Regions from separate parts of the Mus musculus genome. Here all the other regions are reported to be linked to region 1. The links are microRNA targets in miRTarBase. Many come from high-throughput screens and were not tested one by one. Region 1 holds a microRNA gene; each other region holds the end of a gene's coding sequence. Distances are between the middles of the regions.
Evidence for each region. The annotated mature microRNA mmu-miR-1967 reads UGAGGAUCCUGGGGAGAAGAUGC and lies in region 1 at 3,214-3,236, shown strand. An mRNA with a match to its seed (bases 2 to 7 or 8) in the 3' UTR can be bound and repressed. Matches are read on the target gene's strand: a 7mer-m8 pairs with bases 2 to 8, a 7mer-A1 pairs with bases 2 to 7 and ends in A, and an 8mer does both.

Region 1 (6,344 bases):
ACCCAGTGAAAAAACCCATCATGTCGTTTCGAGGTTTCGAGGTTTCGCTGGAATGCTGCTTACCCACTTCCATTTTCACTTTACTGAGGCTCCCTCACCTTTTAGCAGGCTTTGGCCAAGCCCTCTCCTAAGGAGGCACCCTTACAAATGCTCACCTGGTGTGAACAAACCTTGATGCTCTCTCTGTCTGGCTATCTCTTCCTCAAATGGCTTCCTGGTCTTTGCCCTTCTACTCCCAGAGCCTGGAACACCATCCCAGTCCTACACTACCATTGATACCTAATGTTTACTTAACATTCCGCTGCTGAGTAAGACGCCATCTTAAGTACTTCCCACAGACTATCTGCTTTTACTCTATTAGGCAGGTAAACGCTTCAGGTGGGACGCTGAAGCCTGTAGTTATCAGACAACTTGCCCAAAGTCACGCAGTTCCTGAATGGGAGGGAACGCAGTCTCGTGGACAGTGTCTGAGCCTGCACCCTATGCTCCACTGATCCCATACGGGACTGCAGGGGAGCACTGGGCCAACCGCTCACTGATGCTTATGTCAACGAGAGCCTGCAAGTTAATCAGCTAACATGCTGATTGGCTACGTGGAAGGCTGGAACCGTGACTTCAAGTAGTGTTCAATGAGCAGCGCTGGCGTCACACAAGGTCAAGCTAAAACAAGTCAGAAAAGAAGCAAAGCCCCTTCTTTTGTCCCCAGATGTTGTTCATAGATTGTGACAGAGTAACAAAAAGAATAACCAGTTACTAAGTAGTCAGAAGAGGTTTTTGCCTCTCTTCAGTGACAGAAGTACACACAAATCTCACAGTTGGAAGACTGTCCCAAAACACACGAACCAAATTTATTTATTACTGATGGCAAATACTGAAGGCACAAACTGACATTTTGGGTTTTCTGATTTAATATTCGCTTTATAGTTCATAAAACAAGGCTCTCATATGTGTATGTGTGTGTGTATGCACGTGTATTTAGACCAAGTCTCACTCTGTGGTTTAGACTGGTGCAGAACTCACTTCGTACACCAGGATGGCCAACAATTCGCAGCAATCTTTCTGCCTCAGCCTACAGAGTGTGGGGATTACGGAGTGCGCCACCACTACCAGCAGAGTCTGGGCTTAAATTACCCTCCCATTTTACAGGAGAAGAAACCGAGGCAGCAAGCTCGCCTGCTACACGGCTTGCAACTCTAAGTCTCTGCGGTCACCAACTCCATCCGTGACACTCAGCCCCAGGTTACAGCCAAAAAGTCTGTAACCTGGAGAAAGGCAGACTCCCTTCCTACTTCACTTTCTAATAGGGCGGGTCGGACTGGACGGGACTCCCGGCAGAGCCCCGAGGCTATCCTCCACCTGCCGGTCCCGGCGAAGGGGAAAACTCACCTCTCGACGCCGGAGCCACAGCGCCTGCGAGGTCCGCGGGGCCGCGTCTCCCCGCGGCAGCCGCGAGCCCTCCGTCCGCTGCCCACTTCCGCCGAGCGCCCTCGTGAGCTCGCAGTTGGCTCCGCGCGAGGGCGCCCGGCGGGGCCGCGGGGTCTCCGGGCGCGTGCAGCCGGGGCCGCCACGTGCGGGGTCGCTCGGACCCGCGCGCGCGCGAGCAGGGCCGGGACTGCGCAGGGGCGGGCGCGCGCGCGCGCGCTCTCCCGCCCGAGGCCCCTCCCCCGCGTCCCCTCCCCCCCCCCGCCCTGTCCCGCGCCCCGCCCGCACTCACTGAACATCCCAGGCGGCTCCCGCTGCCCCGCCGCCGCCCCGGCACCGGCTGCTTCCGTATCGGTTGCCCGCCGTAGGACTCCGTACGACGACCGGCTAGCCGGGTCCCCGCGCCCTACGTCCTCCCGCGCTCGCGGTTCTCGGTGGCCGCCCCATGACCGCCTGACGGAGCGGGCACGCCGGGCTAGGCCGCGGACGCGCGACGCCGCCGCGGCCAGGGCGCGCTCGGCGCTCCTCTAGCGATGTCTGCGTGACGCCCCTCCCCGCCCCGAGCCGTTGGCGTCAACGTCTGCCGGAAGCGCCTCCCTCACATGTGGCTCGCCGCCGTGGAGGTCCCAGGTGAGCGGACGGTTGGAGAGTTTGGGTTTCCTCTGCGCCGAGGCGCCAGTTTGGCGGATGCGGACACCAGTCCTAACAGGAGGGAACCGGCTGGAGAGCCGGGATCGGAGGAGCCTCTGCCCGAGGGAGTTCCCGCTATGGAACCCTGCTTGAGGTTCTGAACTGCTTTACCCCGAACTGAAGGAGCTCCACTTGAGAGAACCTTGATCTGAGGGAGACCCACGTTAGAGAGCACCCCGATCTCCTACACGGAGCTCGGACTCGAGGGAGCCCCGATCCAGGTAGTAGGATTTGAAGGTATCATGATAAACTAGAACCACCACCTCCTCCTCCTCCTCCTCCTCCACCACCACCACCACCACCACCACCACCACCACCACCACCACCAAAACCAAACTTTTTATTTGTATGGGTGTTTTATGTACACCCGCAGAGGATAAAAGAGGGGCGTTCCTCTAGAACTGGAGTGGTGGTTGTGAGCCAAGATGTGGGATATTGGGACTCGAACCTGGGTTCTCTGGAACAGCAGTAAGTAATCCTAACCACGGAGTCATCTTTCCAGCCCCCTAGAACATTGATTCTCAACCTTCCTAATCCTGCAACCCTTTGTTCATGTTGTGGTGACACGCCCCCCCCCCCCCCGCCATGAAGTTATTTTGTTGCTATATTATAATTGCAATTTTCCTACTGTTGGAAGCATAATGTGAATAAATACCTGGTTTGCAATCTTGTGGGCGTGTGACCCGCAGGTGGAAAAACCCTGCCCTAAACCCTTCCCGAGGTAGTCAGAGGGCGAGGACAGGAAGGGAGGCCTCTCAGTTCTGAAGGCCTGTAGTAAGCTTTCCAAAGTGCACAGTCTCTTGCCTCAACACAGCAGCGTGGTGAATGTTCTGTCAGGGTTTAAGCTAAGTTGTTTACCATAATGGAAACAAACTTTATGACTTTTAAAAACTCAAAAGGTTTAGCTGGGTTTCATAGCAAGTGTAGGTTGTTAATGTATCCTTTCCTTTGTTACTTGGGATTTTAAAGATTGTATATGGTTTTTGTCTACTGTAGCTGTGTGTGACGAGTTACTGTTACAGTAGAAGTAAGAGCATTTTTATTGAAATTAATGCCTGAATTCTGTTTCTTTCTCTCTTTGCTCCTTTTGTCTGACATTCATGAGGATCCTGGGGAGAAGATGCAGAATTCCCTGGAAATTGACTTACAGATCGTTGTGGGTGCTAGGAACTGGACTCGGGCTCTCTACAGGAGTCACAAGTGTTCTTTACTGCTGAGCCGTTTCCTCAGCCACATCACCTAATTTCTTTTTCACTTCAAGAAGCATTATTTTCTTCAAGTACTGTATTGCTTGCTTTTTTGCTTATTTAATAGTGCTACTCCTGTTACACAACACAGTTTTGAAGCTGTGCTAAACCATCTCTTTCGATCTTAAATCATGAATGGTGACTGTCATCCTGTGAGTGATTTACACACTTTGATTTCTCCTTATTGAATTCCTGTATTCTCTAAGTGTGATCACAGCAGGAGTACTTATAATCTATTGTCTACCTGCTTTTGATGAAAGCCAGTTTCAAATTAACTATATATTTGACACAACATCTTACCATGTATCCTAGGCTGGCCTCTGCTTCCTAATTGTACCCAATAAGGTATATAGGGAGGGGTTGGAGAGGTGGCTCAAAGTTAGGAGTACAGCTGCTCTCAGAGAGGACCTGGGCTCAGTTCCCAGTACCTCCATGGCGCCTAACTCATGACTATCTGTACTCTAGTCTCCAAGACTCTAATGCCCTCTTTGACCTTCTTGGACTCCTGAGTGCATATACTCAGGCACATATACATAAAAAATTTTCTTTTTAAAAGATACTGTCCATTTTCTGGTGTCTGTTCAGTTAGGCCTTATTATAATACTATTTTCCTTTTTTAATTGTAGAAGACGTGTAGCAATGGCTGCTGTTTATTCTGGTATTTCCTTTAAACTTAAAAGCAAGACAACTTCCTGGGAAGATAAACTAAAATTAGCTCACTTTGCTTGGATTTCCCATCAGTGCTTTCTACCAAATAAAGAACAAGTAAGTTTAACGTAGAACTTGTACGTTTTATGATCTAAAATAATTTCATGTACAGCTTGGATATTAACATTTAAAAGATTAGAAGACATGTTGGGGAGAAAACTTGATTTGCAGTCACTGTCAGTGAAGAAGCAGTGGGGCTTTTGGATTGCTAGGCGGGAAGTTGAGAAGTTGGAAAGTGCTAGTCTGAGGGCAAGCTAGAAGCAGGTAGGTACCAGTTATGATGTTCTATTGGGATTTCTTAAGTTGCTGTGGCTAAAAAGTAGGCAGTGCAGCTGTGGTAGGATGACAAGCTCATGGAATAGGGCTGGCCTCCATCCAGTGCTGGTATCAGACTGTATTATAATTGTGAGAGAAGTGACGAGGTGTGGTTTGCAGAACAGTTAGCTTACCTGTCAGTGTCCACACCTACTACGTGTTTGAGTCATCTTGACAGCTAGGCAGTTCCTTGGTCAGCGCTGCACAACATGAAACAAAAGGGTAATCCTGGTAGGCTTGAGCGAGAGCCCAGCTCGTCTGTCACACCTACGGACAGTGCTGCAGAGTAGAAGTGAGCAAGGGCAACTCAGTCCAGTGTTTGTCCAGCACACCTGAGGCCCTGGCTTTCTTATCGTCAGCATCACCACCACCATCTTCACGATCTCACACATATGGCACACACAGAAGACTCATACACACAGCTCTGCGAGCTGAAGCATCACCTTTTCTCAGTGTATTGTGCTTGAGAAAACACTGTTACAGGAATGGAAACTGCATGTGTCCAAAGCCCTTTTCTCCCATAGACACTTGTGCATCCGTTCCCCTTGGCTGTGTTTCCTGAATGAGGGAGACTTAGAAGTTACTTGTCTTGGGAAAATGAGCACACATGTCCGAATGTTCTGATTCTCATTCCTTTTTTTCTTTAATTATCCCTCATTGCCATTTGATTTGCATATATGATTGCTTCTGTGGACATTGTGGATATTTATGTGTTTCTCTTAGAAAAGACCATTGAATAATGTTAATTTTATTGAAACTTTTCTTTGAGGCCAGATGAAGACATCATTGTTTTTCCTTAATAAACATTTCAAGATTTCAAAACATTATTATAATGTTAACACAAGTGAGGATTAAAAAAAATACTTTCACTATACCTGTCATGCTGCCATTGAATTGAGACCTTTTGGCCTCAGCTTCCAAGTAGTGATATTAATAGCGTGTGTAATCATATTCAGCCTATCGGTTTCAGATAGGATCTTGCTGTGTTGCTCAGTCTCATCTTGAACTTGTAGACTGAAGTGCTGCTCCTGCAGTGAGTGCTTCAACCTCAGTGGTAACTGATACTGCAGATACACTTTTAACAGGAAATCGTTTTTGTTTTTCATGCAGTAGAATTTGGTCATGATTGGGTGAAAATCTTTCATGTAAGAACTTCATTTACAGAATATGTTTTCTATAAATGCTTTCTATAAATCCAGGTTTTACTTGATTGGGCAAGGCAGTCATTGGTTGCATTTTATAAGAAAAAGCTTGAACTGCAGGAAGATATTGTTGAAAGGCTCTGGATCTATGTAGATAACATTCTACATAGTAAGAAATTGCAGAACCTCCTTAAGGATGGGAAGACTGTAAATCTCCAGCTCTCCCTTGTCAAGGTAAGTGAGTCACGGTCTCTTCTGTTGACCTGTGCTATGTGCGTCTTGGTTCGTTTCTTGTTACTGCCAAGTTTTAGAAAATTATGTGAATATGTGGGAAATTGCAGGGAAAAGAAGGAAGTTGTAATAGTATCCCCCCCACCCCCCAATTTTTTTTTTTTTTTAAAACAGGGTATCTCTATGTAACCCTGGATGTCCAGGAACTTTCTACATAGACCAGGCTGGCTTTGAACTCAGAGATCTGCATGCCTCTGCCACCTGGGATTATAAGCATGGGCTACCGTGCCTGGTGTATGAATTAGTTTTTTTCTTTTTTTAAAAAAAGATTTATTTATTTTTATTTATATGAGTACATTGTAGCTGTCTCCAGACACACCAGAAGAGGGCATCAGATCCCAGTACAGATGGTTGTGAGCCACCATGTGGTTGCTGGAAATTGAACTCAGGACCTCTAGTAGAGCATTCGGTGCTCTTAACCACCTGGCCATCTCTCCAGCTCTGAACTAGTTTTTATTACTGTCTGTTCTCAACTCATGTTCCTCTTTGTATACCCATGTGCTGGGAATATAGATGTGTATCATCAGAG
Region 2 (6,344 bases), not on the chromosome of region 1:
TGCCCTTGAAGAAAATGAAGAGGAAGAGGGGGAAGAGGAAGAGATGATGATGATGGTGGTGGTGATGATGATGATGATTGTGAATATCAAATGTTCCTTTCTTATGGGAGACAAACAGTTTTTTTCCCCCAGCCCTAGATATCAGTCTCACTGTCTCTATTAGCACTTCACCAGAACTTGATCTTGATCTGACTTCCCACAGTGCCGTGTGTGTATTGTGTGTGTGTGTGTGTGTGTGTGGCGTGTGCTCTTGAGCGCACACACATACATGTGTGCACCTATGAGACTGTGGCTGTACGTGTGCCCTAGTGCACCTAGAGCTAGACTAGCAGAAAAGCATACAGCTTGCTTGCTCTCAAGAGCTAAATGCTGCAGAGGAAGCTGGGGCCGCCCACATTTGCTACCAGTGTTGTTTATGTTTTCTTTTGTAGTTCTTACCCAAGACAAAGCCCTTGGTGTGGAGAACCCTGAGTGCTACCAGAGGTGAAGAGCTGAAGAGCTCAGCTCCTGAGCCACAGGGTGACCAGACTGACACAGGAAGCCAGGGTTGCACAGGAGGCTGCTCTTGCTTGTGTCTTCCTTCCCTGAGTCTTCCCTGGACAAATCGAGCACCTGCCTGACACTTTAGTTATCTTCCTCTCTGGTCCGGACTTGTTGTCCTGACAACCAGACAGGAGGATGAAAGACAGCCCGCACACACCTCTCCACACACCACCCCACGCATGGGCTAAACTCTGGGTTTGAGATCACGTTTAGTTGAAGTTTGAAAAACATGCTAAAATCCTAAGTCATTAACCACTGCTAGGTGTAGATATATTTTAAATCAATCAAGCCCCTCTGGCATGTTAAAAAAGATTTATGTGTTCTTCACTTACCCATGGTCCCAAGTCCCTCACATCCGTCCTGCAGAAATCAGTTTATTTGTGTCCTAAGACAACAAAGGAAATGTTGAATCTTGCTTTGAGACCCTAGTCAGTGTTGCATTGGGCTAACTCAGACAAGCTTTAGAAAGTTGACTGTTAAATTTTCATTTTGAGAGCTAGTAGGCATGACAAAGACTTAAATTATTATTTTTATTATTATTGAGATGGTATTTCTCTGGGTAGCCCCAGCTGTCCCAGAACACATTCTGTAGACCAGGCTATCCTGGAATTCACTCTATAGACCAGGCTAGCCTCAAACTCACAAAGATCCTCCTGCCTCTGCCTCTCAAGTGCTGGGATTAAAGGTGTGTACTGCCACTACCTAGCTTTAAAAAAAAAAAAAAAATTGTAACTAAACAAAGGTAATTCTCCAAACCTCACTTTCTAATTTTACATGGCAGATGCTCCTGAGCCCAAGAAGCAGCTCAGATGCTGCTCAGGAGTGTCCATGGCACCAAGGTGGTGACATTTCTGTGACAGAATACTGCTGGGCTCCTCCTCTCAGATCTCTGTGACAGCCTGCTGGTAGTCCAAGGTCAGCCATGGCCCAGAAATGGTGAAAGCCGTGCCCCTGGGAACAGATGGGTTTCCAGCGTCTTTCTGCTAACGAGCAATGCTAGTTGGTTCAGAAAGTGCAGGGAGAATGAAATGGACAGTCTGTTGTTCTTTACTGAGATCCTCAAGGTACAGAAGAATTTTTTTTAAAAAAATAGCTCATTTGGTATTTTATACCTTTTATAGATGAAAATTTTATACTGTGTCAAGGCCCTCCCTCCCTCCCATATAAATCTAGGACTACTATATAATTCAAGCCATGCAGTATACAGAGAGCAGTGTCAGTATGCAGAAACCAGTGTCTGTCAGGAGTGCCCTCTTCTATACAGAAGGTAGGTTAGTAATCCAGAGAATACAAGAAGGCGGCTCACCAGCCCGGGCAGGGCTGGGTGCAAGGCTTCTGGCATCAGCGACATGACATGATTTGTCTCTGGGAAGTCTCTAGGAGGAACAAATGTCCTGTTACAGTCATTGGTTTAATCTGTACATTCTCTGTGCATATACATGTGTTCATGTGAGCATGGACTCATGGTCCCAAGGGCTGTAGTTCACACACTAGACACCAGCAGAGCAGAGGTGGGCCAGGTTATCAGCCTTCTAGCTGTGACTCCAGAAGCCCCCCATCCCCCACCTCCAGCCTTGCTTGTTTTTACCAGTATGATGGCATTTCTAAAAGCACCCTACCTCACAGGAATTCTGAGAGAACTGAGAGTGTGTGGAGCATCTGCTGCATGCCCTACATGGGACCTGCCTTCCAAATGTTCATGGTTTTACTTCTATTCTTTGTAACACCTCATACGCAGCTTAGACGTCATCTCCATTTGGTACAAACTTTAAGTCAAATTTAACTTTGAAACGCCGATGGCCTAAGCAAATCCTTTTAACTATATTTATAAATTCATTGAAAAGTACCTCATACTAGCCATATTAAAATCTAGCTGGGCAATCTAACTATGGTGACTGACCTGGGCAAAGAGAAAGTGGTTGTATTTTTCTTGTAGTTTTTTTTTCAAGAAAACATCCTTTTTATACAGATCTAGAAAGAAGAATCACTGCTTATACCTACATTGGTGATGATTGATGTGTTAATATAGAAAACTCAAAAGAATCTCATACTTTCCTAAAATAAAATATTTTAAACCTAGTAAGTGTGTTATCCATCTTGAAGGGCAGTCGACCCTTTATACTGAAGATCAAATGGTCTAACGCTCCCCAAAGACAGGTCTCTCTTAGAGGTTCACGTGACGCACATGCACACACTCTTGTGCACACACACACACACAAACACACACACACACACACACACCCAATATAAGATACACACATGACAACTATGTATGTATGTATGTATGTATGTATGTATGTATGTATGTTATGTATGTGTATATGTATGTATGTATATATGTACACCTTTGGAACTTGGGGCAGGGCTAGGGGTGGTACCTGGGGTTTCAAGCATTCTAGGCAAGACTCACCACTAAGCCACACTTCTAGCTATCAAGAGTGTTGTAAAAAAACAAAACAAAACAAAAAAAAATAAATAAAAAAAATAAAAAGAAAAAAAAAAAAAGAAAAAAGCCGGGCAGTGGTGGCGCACGCCTTTAATCCCAGCACTCGGGAGGCAGAGGCAGGCGGATTTCTGAGTTCGAGACCAGCCTGGTCTACAAAGTGAGTTCCAGGACAGCCAGGGCTATACAGAGAAACTCTGTCTCGAAAACAAAACAAAACAAAACAAAACAAGAGTGTTGTGATGTCTCCCTGTTCCCAGATTCCTTCTGCAGACTTGGGGATCTAAGCCACCAGCATACCTTGCACACATTTAAAGGAAGGTATAGTGACACAAAGGGTTCATTTGTTTTGTTGTTATTCATTCGTTTTGTCTTTTTGAAATGGGTTTTACATTGCCCAAGGTAGACTAGATGCCATGTAGTTCAGATGATCTTGGACTCCCGATTTTCCTATTTCCACACCCCAGGTGCTAGGATGACAAGCATGCAGCACCAAGGCCAGCCTGTGTGCACCTGGGGATCCACTTTAGAGTACACCAGGGAGGCAAGCACTCTACCCATGAGCGATAGCCTCAGCTCACAAGTTTCTTACAGAGATTGCGTTTACACATTAAAAAAAAAAAGATCAAACAGCCACCATGTTCAAAGCAGAGGCTCAGGTACAGTTTCAGCAATGAATGAGAAGTCCCTGCCTCACAGAGACTTCAAGGTCAAAGCCATAGAAACAGCAAGTAAATATATAACATGTTATAGGATGATAGAGTACTGTAAGAAGCAGCAGGGGTGGGCGTGGGAACGGCAGATGTTCGGGCTATCTTAACAAGAGGACATGTGCTACACAGGAGAAAGCCAGGCGGGTGGGTACCTGAGAATATTCCTGCCAGGTAGAGGCTACAGCAAGGGGAAGGGCCTTGAACTGGAATGTTCCATAGAATCTGAGGAGCAGCTGGCAGACTGGTCTGGACAAACTGCAAAGCAGGCAGACAGTGGCAAGAAACAGGGTGGCATGAATGTGGATTTTTCTGGGGGATGTGAGCTTACCAACAGACTGTCACATGGCACGGTTCACACATTTAAAACCGTTACTCTGGCTGTTTGAAGACAGTGGGGCTGAGGTAGGCTCAGATACACTGCAGGGCTGGAGAGGTGACAGTGACTTGGACCATGCTGGAAGCAGTGGAAATGGTGAGGGCGAATTCAGTTGGAAGGTCTGTCAGAATTTGCTGATGGACTGAGTATAAGAGAAGGGTGCCAGTCTCAAGCTGAAGGCATCTGACCTATGCCCAGGTGTGAGGCATTTTGAGGTAGGCAAGCACAGGGAAGACTCTACTTGGCTATACATACAGTACTTAACAAGCTGAGACCCTGCCAACATCAGGCTGCACACCCCTTCTTAAATAAAGCAACTGGTAACTCTAACCTGGAGCGCCCTAGCCATCCTTAGTAACTTCCCTTCTGTGGCCAAACACATCCTGAAACACCTTGGGATCTGGAAATGTGGGCTCATCCAGCCTAAACTGGTTTGGGGAACATAGACAATAAGGCAAACTATGCCCTACAAATGAAGTCTTAGGGAAAAACCCTACTTACCACCGTGCCTATGCATGATTGAACGAATATGATGAAGATCAGATGTATCATGGGAAAGGACATGTGAAGTAAACTCAGGTTTATGTAACTCATACATGTTATTCCATGCCTGTAGAGGTCAGGGGACAACTTGAGGTGTTGGCCCCTGCCTTTCCATCTTGTCTGAGAAGAGTTCTTCGCTGCTGCACAGCCAAGCTCACTTCTGGTGGATTCTTCTGTTTCGCCCTCCCATCTTTGGGAAGAGCAGCTGTTCCCAACCTATGGGTACACTGTAGCTCTCTTCAGACACACCAGAAGAGGGCAACAGATCTCATTACAGACGGTTGTGAGCCACCATGTGGTTGCTGGGAATTGAACTCAGGACCTCTGGAAGAGCAGTCAGTGCTCTTAACTGAGCCATCTTGCAAGCCTGAGGCCATATCTTTAAAAAAAACAGTTCTGCACATCAGTATATGATGCTATCCTGGATATCAAGCCAGCTGCTAGACTTGGTAGCCAGAGTTTAAAGAGAAGTTATATAGCTTACAGTGTTCAGAGACAAGGAATGAAATCTCCTAGTTAGTGGTTGCAGGGACTGAGAGATCGAGCCTGGGGGTTCTTCAAAACCTAGGGGTTTAGAAAAAGAACTGATGTAGTAAAAAATTAGAAGCCAGAGGTAGGAACCCATTCAACAGTCAAAGTGGCTTCCTGGAAGGTATGGGAAGAGCATCTTAAGAAGACATCAGTGCTTGTGAGAGATTAACAGGACTAACAAACACTGGGCTAGATGGGAGAGGGGCTTAGGTAAATGACCAGTGTGTTCAAAACATATGGGAACAACACTCACAATCCAGTACCATGGCTGCATCTGCTAGGAACCTCCACAGCTGCTGAAGTCTTTACTTCTGTGACAGTTCTATGACACATCACTGTACTTCTGAGTGACTCCGATGAAGTCACTTCATGATTCCTTCAGTGGCAGGTATACTGTGATGATCAGAGTGTGATCCTGGGACACTCAACATTGTCTCCTACCTAATAAAGCCCAAAGAGCCCAGTGTGAGGATGGTGGCCATTAGACGCCTCTATGAAACACAGATGGAATGGTACCTGCAGTCAGTGCGCTTCGCCAAACTAGTGCCAACAGTTGGAAAGGCCGAAATGGTGGCAGGCTTTTCCACCGAAGGACCTGGAGCTTTGGGTATTCAAAAATGCACTCTGTGACTGCAAAAAGCAAGACCATATTTCTCAGCTCCTCTAAGATTAGTGTTCTTAGGTAATGCATTTGAGCAGATTCCCAGGAAAGCCCTTCATTGGCTCAACGGTGTGGTCAAGCACCAGCCAAAGAGACACTCCCAGGGCCTGTGTCCTGCCACCAGCCATCTGGTATGCTCTTGGTACTTTCATCTGGAATGAGCCTGCGCTCTCTGATGTGATCAGGCCACCCATTAGGCCCACATCCTCCATCATGTTCTAAGCCACTTCTAAAAACACTTCATTTCACTGCTAAATTAACTGGTCCTTTCTTTTCTTCTCCCAAGCTCTCCAAAGAAAGGGGGCTAGGGAGGCCAAGCATTGTGGTATGCATCTGTAACGAGCACTCAGGAAGCTGAGGCAGGAAGACCACAAGGCTATCAAGGTCCAGAGCAGCCAAAACTACACGAGACCCTTTCTGAAAACATAAAAGGGGGCTGAAGTGGAAATGAGCAATGTGTTCATCCCAAAAGCCTCGGTGAACACATCTGATTACAACTAACTGTATGACATTTGCATAAAACACACACACACA
Region 3 (6,344 bases), 40 Mb from region 1:
ACCAGGTAAGGCTTCCAGACATGGGCTTTGGCAGCTAGGCCTTGGCTGGGTGGCCTCAGGGCTCAGAAAGTTCATGGATTCTAGCAATATGTTTGCCACCAGGTGCCTACAGGCCAGGTGCTTACACTGGCGGCACAAGTTGCTTCCCCAGTGGATCTGGGAGAGGGTTCCTGATCCTGCCAACAGCAATTCTGGGCAACCTTACATCAAGGTGAGAAAACGGCACCCCTGGGAGCACCACTCTCTAACTGGGAGCACCACTCTCCAACTGGAGGATGCTGGGGCAAGTGGGAGGGGAGGAGCACTGAGTTTCAAGCTTCCATCTCCCCAGGAGGTGAGCCTGCCCCAACCGCCCAAGGACGGACCCATCCTGGAGGTGGAGGAAGTGGAGCTACAGCCTGTTGTGGAGTCCCCTAAAGCCTCTGCCCCAATTTACTCTGGGTATGAGAAACACTTCCTGCCCACACCAGAGGAGCTGGGCCTTCTAGTCTGATCTGCTTACGGCTAGGGGCTGTACCCCTATCTTGGGCTAGACGTTTTTGTATTTTTAGATTTTTGAGACAGGATCTCACTATGGCTGGCCTGGAACTTGATATAACAACCAGGCTGGCCTGGAACTCACCAAGACTCACCTGGTTTTGCCTTCCAAGGACTGAGAAGAAATGAGTGTGCCGCCTCCCGCCCAACCAGCTTTTGCTTTCCTTGCCTCTGGGTCTTGGGCATCTGTTTGTTACTGCAGAAGAATCAGTGAGCTCACAGCCTCAACCCCATCGTTGTTATTTCCTCCTTGTGTCACAGGCTTGCTAGGTAGCCAAGGCTGGCCTCGAACTTGTGATCCTCCCTGCTGCAGCATCCCCAGAGCTGGGATTACAGGTGTGCGTCACTTCATCGAGTCATAACTTTTGATTCTAGTAAGAATAACTACCAGGCAGGCTATGAGGTGGTGACTCGAAAGACACATTCAAGGGCCTGAAGTGGTTAAGAGCCTGTGTTTTCTTGCAGTAGACCAAAGTTTGGTTCCCTGCCCTTGCAAAGGACACACGTTCAGTTTCCAGCACCCACAGGGCAGCTCAGAATCACCTGTAACTCCAGGTCCAAGGAATCCAATGCCCTCTTCTGGCTTCTGTGAGCCCTGCACACACATGGTTACTTATGCACCGAAAAACACACGCATAAAATAAAAATAAATAAATAAATAAAAATAAATTAATAAATAAATCTTTTTTTTCTTAAAGCCAGAGTGCCTTAACATTTAATTTTCAAGTATAAAGGCTTCATTGCAGAAGGGAGTCAGGGCCACAGGCAGTGGGCAGGGAATCTAAAAGCACAGGGCCCTCCGGCTCCTGGGTGCCACTACCAGTCCTGTGGTACCCTGTCTATGCCTGGGACCTTCTGCTGGGTGCCAGGCAGCGAGGTAGCTGTGAGAGGAGGAGTGGGGTGCTGGCGGCAGGCGTAGGCTCACATGACCACACAACACTGGCACGTCTTCTGCTTGGGACCACTAGCTTCTTTGGCCTCAGCCAGCTCAAGCTGCTGGGCAGGGGCATACGTAGGTGCAGGGTGGTCACCAGGGTTAGTGCTGGACGCTTCCTGATGGAGCAGTGGCTGGCTTTCCACAGGCTGCTCCGGGGCTGGGGTCTCAGCTAGGAGCAGGGTAGCATCCCCTGGGGGACCCTCTCGCTCAGTACAGGGCTCAGGCTTACTGGCTGCCCCTTCTACCAGGCCTTCTTGCTTCTCTGGTTCTTGCTGTCCTTGCTCCTCTGACCTGGGCTCGTCCTGGACACAAACAGTGGCTCCTGGTGGGCTGGCATCCTCCGCCTGGAACTCTGCTCCTTCGTTGGCTTTGCCTTGCTCTTCTGGACTCACATCATCCTTGGCGCCTGAGGTCTTGTCCACCTCAGAGAATGGCTCGATGCCATCTGCCTCCCTGTCCAATAGTTTCTTACTTCCTTCAGCTTCTTCATCCAATGAGCCCTCACCTCCTGTCTTCTCATCTAATAGTTTCTTGCTTCCTTTAGTTTCATCCAATGAGCTCTTATCTCCTATCTCTCCATCCAATAGTATCTCAGTTGTTTTTGATTCTCTGTCCAATGAGCCCTCACCATCTTTCTCCTGGTCCAATGGCATCTCACTTCCTTTTCTCTCTGTCTCCAGTGAGCCCTCTGGCTTTTTTTCTGTCACCAATGGCTTCTCAGTGGTGACCGGCTCTGCCTCACCTCCCTTTTCTACTTCCAACGACTCTTCACCTTCCGTCGTTTTCACCTCCCACTTTTCCTCATCTGTTGCTATCTCTGCTGGAAAGGGGCCCTCACTGTCTTTTCTCTCTACCTTTTCTGCCTCGTTTTCCTCTCTTCCCTGGGTCTCATCTGGCAGCACAGCTACACCATCCTCCCTCTCTGCCCCGAGCTTTTCTGCCCTTCCCTTCTCTTCTATGCCCTCAACTTTCTCTACTTCTCTCTTCTCTACCTCCCAGGACGCTTCACCTCCTCTGGGCTGTGCTCCAATCAAAGCCTCAGGTTCTCCTGCAGACCCTGCCCCCTGCGGTGCTTCCAAACCCTCCATCAAAATCTCCTCCCAGTCTTCGCTGAGGGCCACTCTCTCCACCCAAATGAAGGATCCCTCCTCTACTCCAGGACCTCCCTGCCCAACACCCTCAAGACTATCTCTGGAAGCACCTTCTTCTTTTCTGCAAGTTTCAGCCTCAAATTGCTCCTGGAGTCTCCTGGAACTGGTGTGTGTGGCCTCTGCATCCCTGCCTGACTCCCCTGTGACATCAAGATCCCTGCCTCCCAGCCCCTCCCAGACCACTTCCACTACACCCCTGCCCTCCTTCACCCAAGTGGGGAGCTCAGGGCTGCTGGTGCCCTGCCTGGCCCCAATGGCCTCCAGAACCACTTCTTCCACCTTAGCCTCCAGCTCCACATCTGTGGGGCCTGTGGCACTGTTCTCAGTGGCTCTAAGCCCAGCCCAAACCACCTCCACTGCACCATCTCCTTTGGCCTTAGTGACACTCGACACCCCTAGACTCAGCTGCTCTGGGAGAGGGCTGTGCCCAGGGCAGGGGCCATTGGCTTCTGAAGATGTCCCTATAGCTTCAGTGGATGGCCTCGAGGCTGGTAGAACCGCAATCGACTCCTCCCTGGGATCAGAAGGAGACTCAGGGGACATGCCCACTGGAGCATCTGGCAGGGAAGTTCGCTTGTCCACATCAGTCGGGGCTGGGGGAATCAAGGGAGGACGGGACAGGGAGGTCAGGATGATGGGGGAATAACAGGACCCTTACCCCAGATTCTTTTGAGTCACATGATCTGGTGGTGACGGTACCCCAGGTCTTGGGGACTCCAATGCTTACCGGTAGGAGCTGCTTCCATGGCAGACTGAGAGAGAGGACGGGGACCCTGCAAGGAGAATAGAGACAAGGTCAAAATTGGTCCCAGGTTGTACTTCCCAGGTATGTTTGTGCCCCACCCGCTTAAACAGTATATCATGTTAGTGCTTGCATGGACAGCTTCTGAGGTGACTATAAAGTATATCATGTTAACAGTATATCATGTTAGTGCTTGCGTGGACAGCTTCTGAGGTGAGTATAAAGTATTTGGGGGAAGGAATACTTGGGATGGAACCCAAGCCCTGGGCCACACTAGGTTATTGCAATATTGCTGTTGAACCACATCCTCAACCTGTAAAGACCTGATGCAATCAGACTTTAAGTTCCAATGGGAGGAGGTAAGTAATAGACATAACAACAAATAAATAAGCCGCGTTTGCAAATAGTTAAGGGGAGAGAACAAAGCGGTGAAAAGGAAGAGAGGTCTAGGGTGAGGAGGTTTCCCCTAGAGACTGAGCTGGGCGTGGCTTCAAGAGGCTTGCCGAGAAGGGTGTGCCCTGTCCAGAGTGCTGAGTTGGAGACCATTGTTCGAGGCTAAGGCTACAGTACTGCCCGGGTGAGCCAGACGTTAAAGGGAATAATAGAAGAGAGACAATGTGGCCAGCGTGGAGTGAAGGAAAGATGTGAAGAAAGACGATGGGGCAGCTGCACACACCTGTATTCACACACCTGCATGCACACTAAGTCCCTTTGTGATCAAGGCTTGGTGGTAGGAACCGGTAATCCTACCACAAGGAAAGCTGAAGCAGGGAGATCACGAGTTCAAGGTCGCGGGCTTCGAGATTGGGCTAATTGCTTTCAATTATAATCTCACTGGCCCTTCCAAAGGCACTTCTGAGTTGGTATTCCTACTTTAGGGATGAGCAAACTAAGATCTAGCCAAGACAACCAACTTGCACAGAACACAGAACAAAGTAACAGTGAGTGGGTTTGCCTACCATTCTCTACCAAGGCAGAGGCTGCGTTTTGAGAGAGCACATTTCCGCTGTGTCCTGTTCTAACCCTGCTGACCACAGCCCCCTCCTCTCCACCTCTTTCAGGCCCTGCTCACCTCTCTGCGCCAGGCGGGCCTACCAGCAGGTCTGTGTTGAGCACCTGTGGACGCACTTTGCAACAGCTGTAGCTGTGACTGGAGTCTGAGGGAGAAAGGAGGCTGCTGGAAGCCGGAATGGACCAAACCTGCTCCATTTCTTAGAGCTGCTAAAGGCTGGGGCATGGCTCAAAATCAGGGATTCTCAACTCACGAAAACAAACTGTCTTCCAGGTTGCGAATTCGAGCCTGGGCCTGTCCCTCAGGCGACTGTGGGTCCTTGGAGGCGGGTTCCTCCGGCCGTTCTGGCCCTTCAGCTGCCCCGTCCATGAGCCAACGTTCTCGGAGAGATTTCCTCTGGGTATGGAACGAGAGTCCGGGACTAGCCACAGGAAGCCTACCTCCCCACCCATTGCTTGCAACCACCCAGAGGGCGCATCCATCAGGATGGGAGACATGTCCATATCTCGTACCCCAACACCATGCCAGCATACAGCCTTCCCAAGCAGAGGCATGCAACCATTATCCTTCCAGCCTGCCCAGTCGACTGGCTCTGCTAGGCTCGGAAAGACCTCTCAATGTGCCCCTCTCCACCCCAACGTTGGCCTCAGGTTCCTCTCATCACCACCAAACTGGGATGAAGCTCACCACCATCCTCCACCCCCGCCCCCCATACTCTTCCAGAGTGGGACAGCTGTCTCCATGGCTACCTTTCGCCTGCCTCCTCTCCATCTCCCCCTTCCCAAATTAGTCAGAGGTTCCTATTGTCTTTCAGCCGGACTCACACAGACACCCCACTTCACTTCCCCGGACTGGATAGGAGCCCCCAACCTTGAGCCGCTCCACGCGGAGTTTCTCCTCCTCCAGCTCGCGACGCGCGGCGCCGATCTCCTCCTGCAGCCGCCGCTTCTCCTGCGCACACACGACCCAGAGCTGCGGGCTAGTCCAGGGCCGCCCTCCGCCCGCCTCCTCGGGGCTCCCGGGACTCCCGGGGCGTCCTCCCGCGGGCGGGGGCTGCAGAGCGCTGACTCAGCAGCGAGAGGGGCGGGGCGGGGCAGGACCAGGCGGCCGCGCCCTCATGCTGCGGAAGCCAGGCCCACGCCCAATGGTGGTCCGCAAATGGGGGCGTGGAGGCGGGGCCTAGAGATGGGGACTAGGGTTTTGCACTTCTAAGATAGGAAGGAGAATGGCCAGGCGAGGCGAACGCGCTTGGTAACCCCAAGACTCAGTAGGACGATCTCCATGAGTTCCAGGCCAGCTTGGACTAGAAAGGGAGTAGCCAATTAGAGGCTACTTTGGGCTACAGAAACCCTGCTGGGAAAAAAAAAATCGTTAAAAAGGGGGGGGGGGGTCAGGGATGTGTTGATCTAGATAAAGAGAAGGTGCTAGCGAGATGGAGTCCAAAATGGGGGTGCAGAGGTAGACATCCAGAGAGATTCAGGCATATATAGAGGTAACGCAGAGATAGGGTACAAAGATATGCAGTAAATCAGGGCGCAGGTTGTGTTGAAAGACATGACCTTCCAAGGTGATTGTGCAGGGTACCCAAGAGCACTGCTTAACGTTGAGGTGCTGAAGAGAGACCAGAAAAAATGGGAATGGGGAGGTGGAGAAGTTAGAAAGGTGGGCTACAAAAGAAAGGGTTAGAAAAAGGAGGTTACAACAGGTGATCCGAGACTTAGGGAACAGGGGCAATTCAGGGTCGAGGTACAGAAGTGGCTACAGAAAGGTGGGTTGCTAAGAGTGCCAAAAGAGGAGGTACAGACCATGGAAGCCAGAGAAACGGAGCACAAAGGCGGGGGAGAATAAGAGGGGCAGGTGCAGAGTGGTGGAGTCAGGGTTCAGAGGTGAGGTCTAGAAATGGGTTCTAGAAAGGGTTCTGGAGTGTGGGGGTGTAGAAATATAGAATGCAAAGCATGTTTGGAG

Region 2: the mRNA of Mfsd4a is a reported target of mmu-miR-1967. Seed matches in the 3' UTR shown: 7mer-m8 at 1,190-1,196 and 8mer at 1,598-1,605.
Region 3: miRTarBase lists Il27ra as a target of mmu-miR-1967. Seed matches in the 3' UTR shown: 7mer-m8 at 834-840.

What each region holds. Positions count from the first base shown.
Region 1 is chr8:124,019,475-124,025,818 of GRCm38, forward strand. It overlaps Mir1967 (microRNA 1967), which reads left to right and starts at 3,167; the gene lies at 3,167-3,248. It overlaps Taf5l (TATA-box binding protein associated factor 5 like), which reads right to left and starts at 1,923. Exons shown (of 5, transcript NM_133966.3): 1 at 1,715-1,923. It overlaps Urb2 (URB2 ribosome biogenesis 2 homolog (S. cerevisiae)), which reads left to right and starts at 2,023. Exons shown (of 10, transcript NM_001368414.1): 1 at 2,023-2,052; 2 at 3,986-4,124; 3 at 5,582-5,758. The coding sequence starts at 3,999.
Region 2 is chr1:132,033,061-132,039,404 of GRCm38, reverse strand. Mfsd4a (major facilitator superfamily domain containing 4A) reads left to right here. Exons shown (of 10, transcript NM_001114662.1): 10 at 432-2,622. The coding sequence ends at 487. Among named protein-coding and RNA genes, the nearest start is that of Elk4, 29 kb to the right of the region's middle.
Region 3 is chr8:84,025,180-84,031,523 of GRCm38, reverse strand. Il27ra (interleukin 27 receptor, alpha) reads left to right here. Exons shown (of 14, transcript NM_016671.3): 12 at 1-5; 13 at 103-211; 14 at 332-1,238. The coding sequence ends at 493. Palm3 (paralemmin 3) reads right to left here. Exons shown (of 7, transcript NM_028877.1): 3 at 5,250-5,330; 4 at 4,633-4,775; 5 at 4,440-4,524; 6 at 3,353-3,398; 7 at 1,229-3,218. The coding sequence ends at 1,459. Among named protein-coding and RNA genes, the nearest start is that of Palm3, 6.9 kb to the right of the region's middle.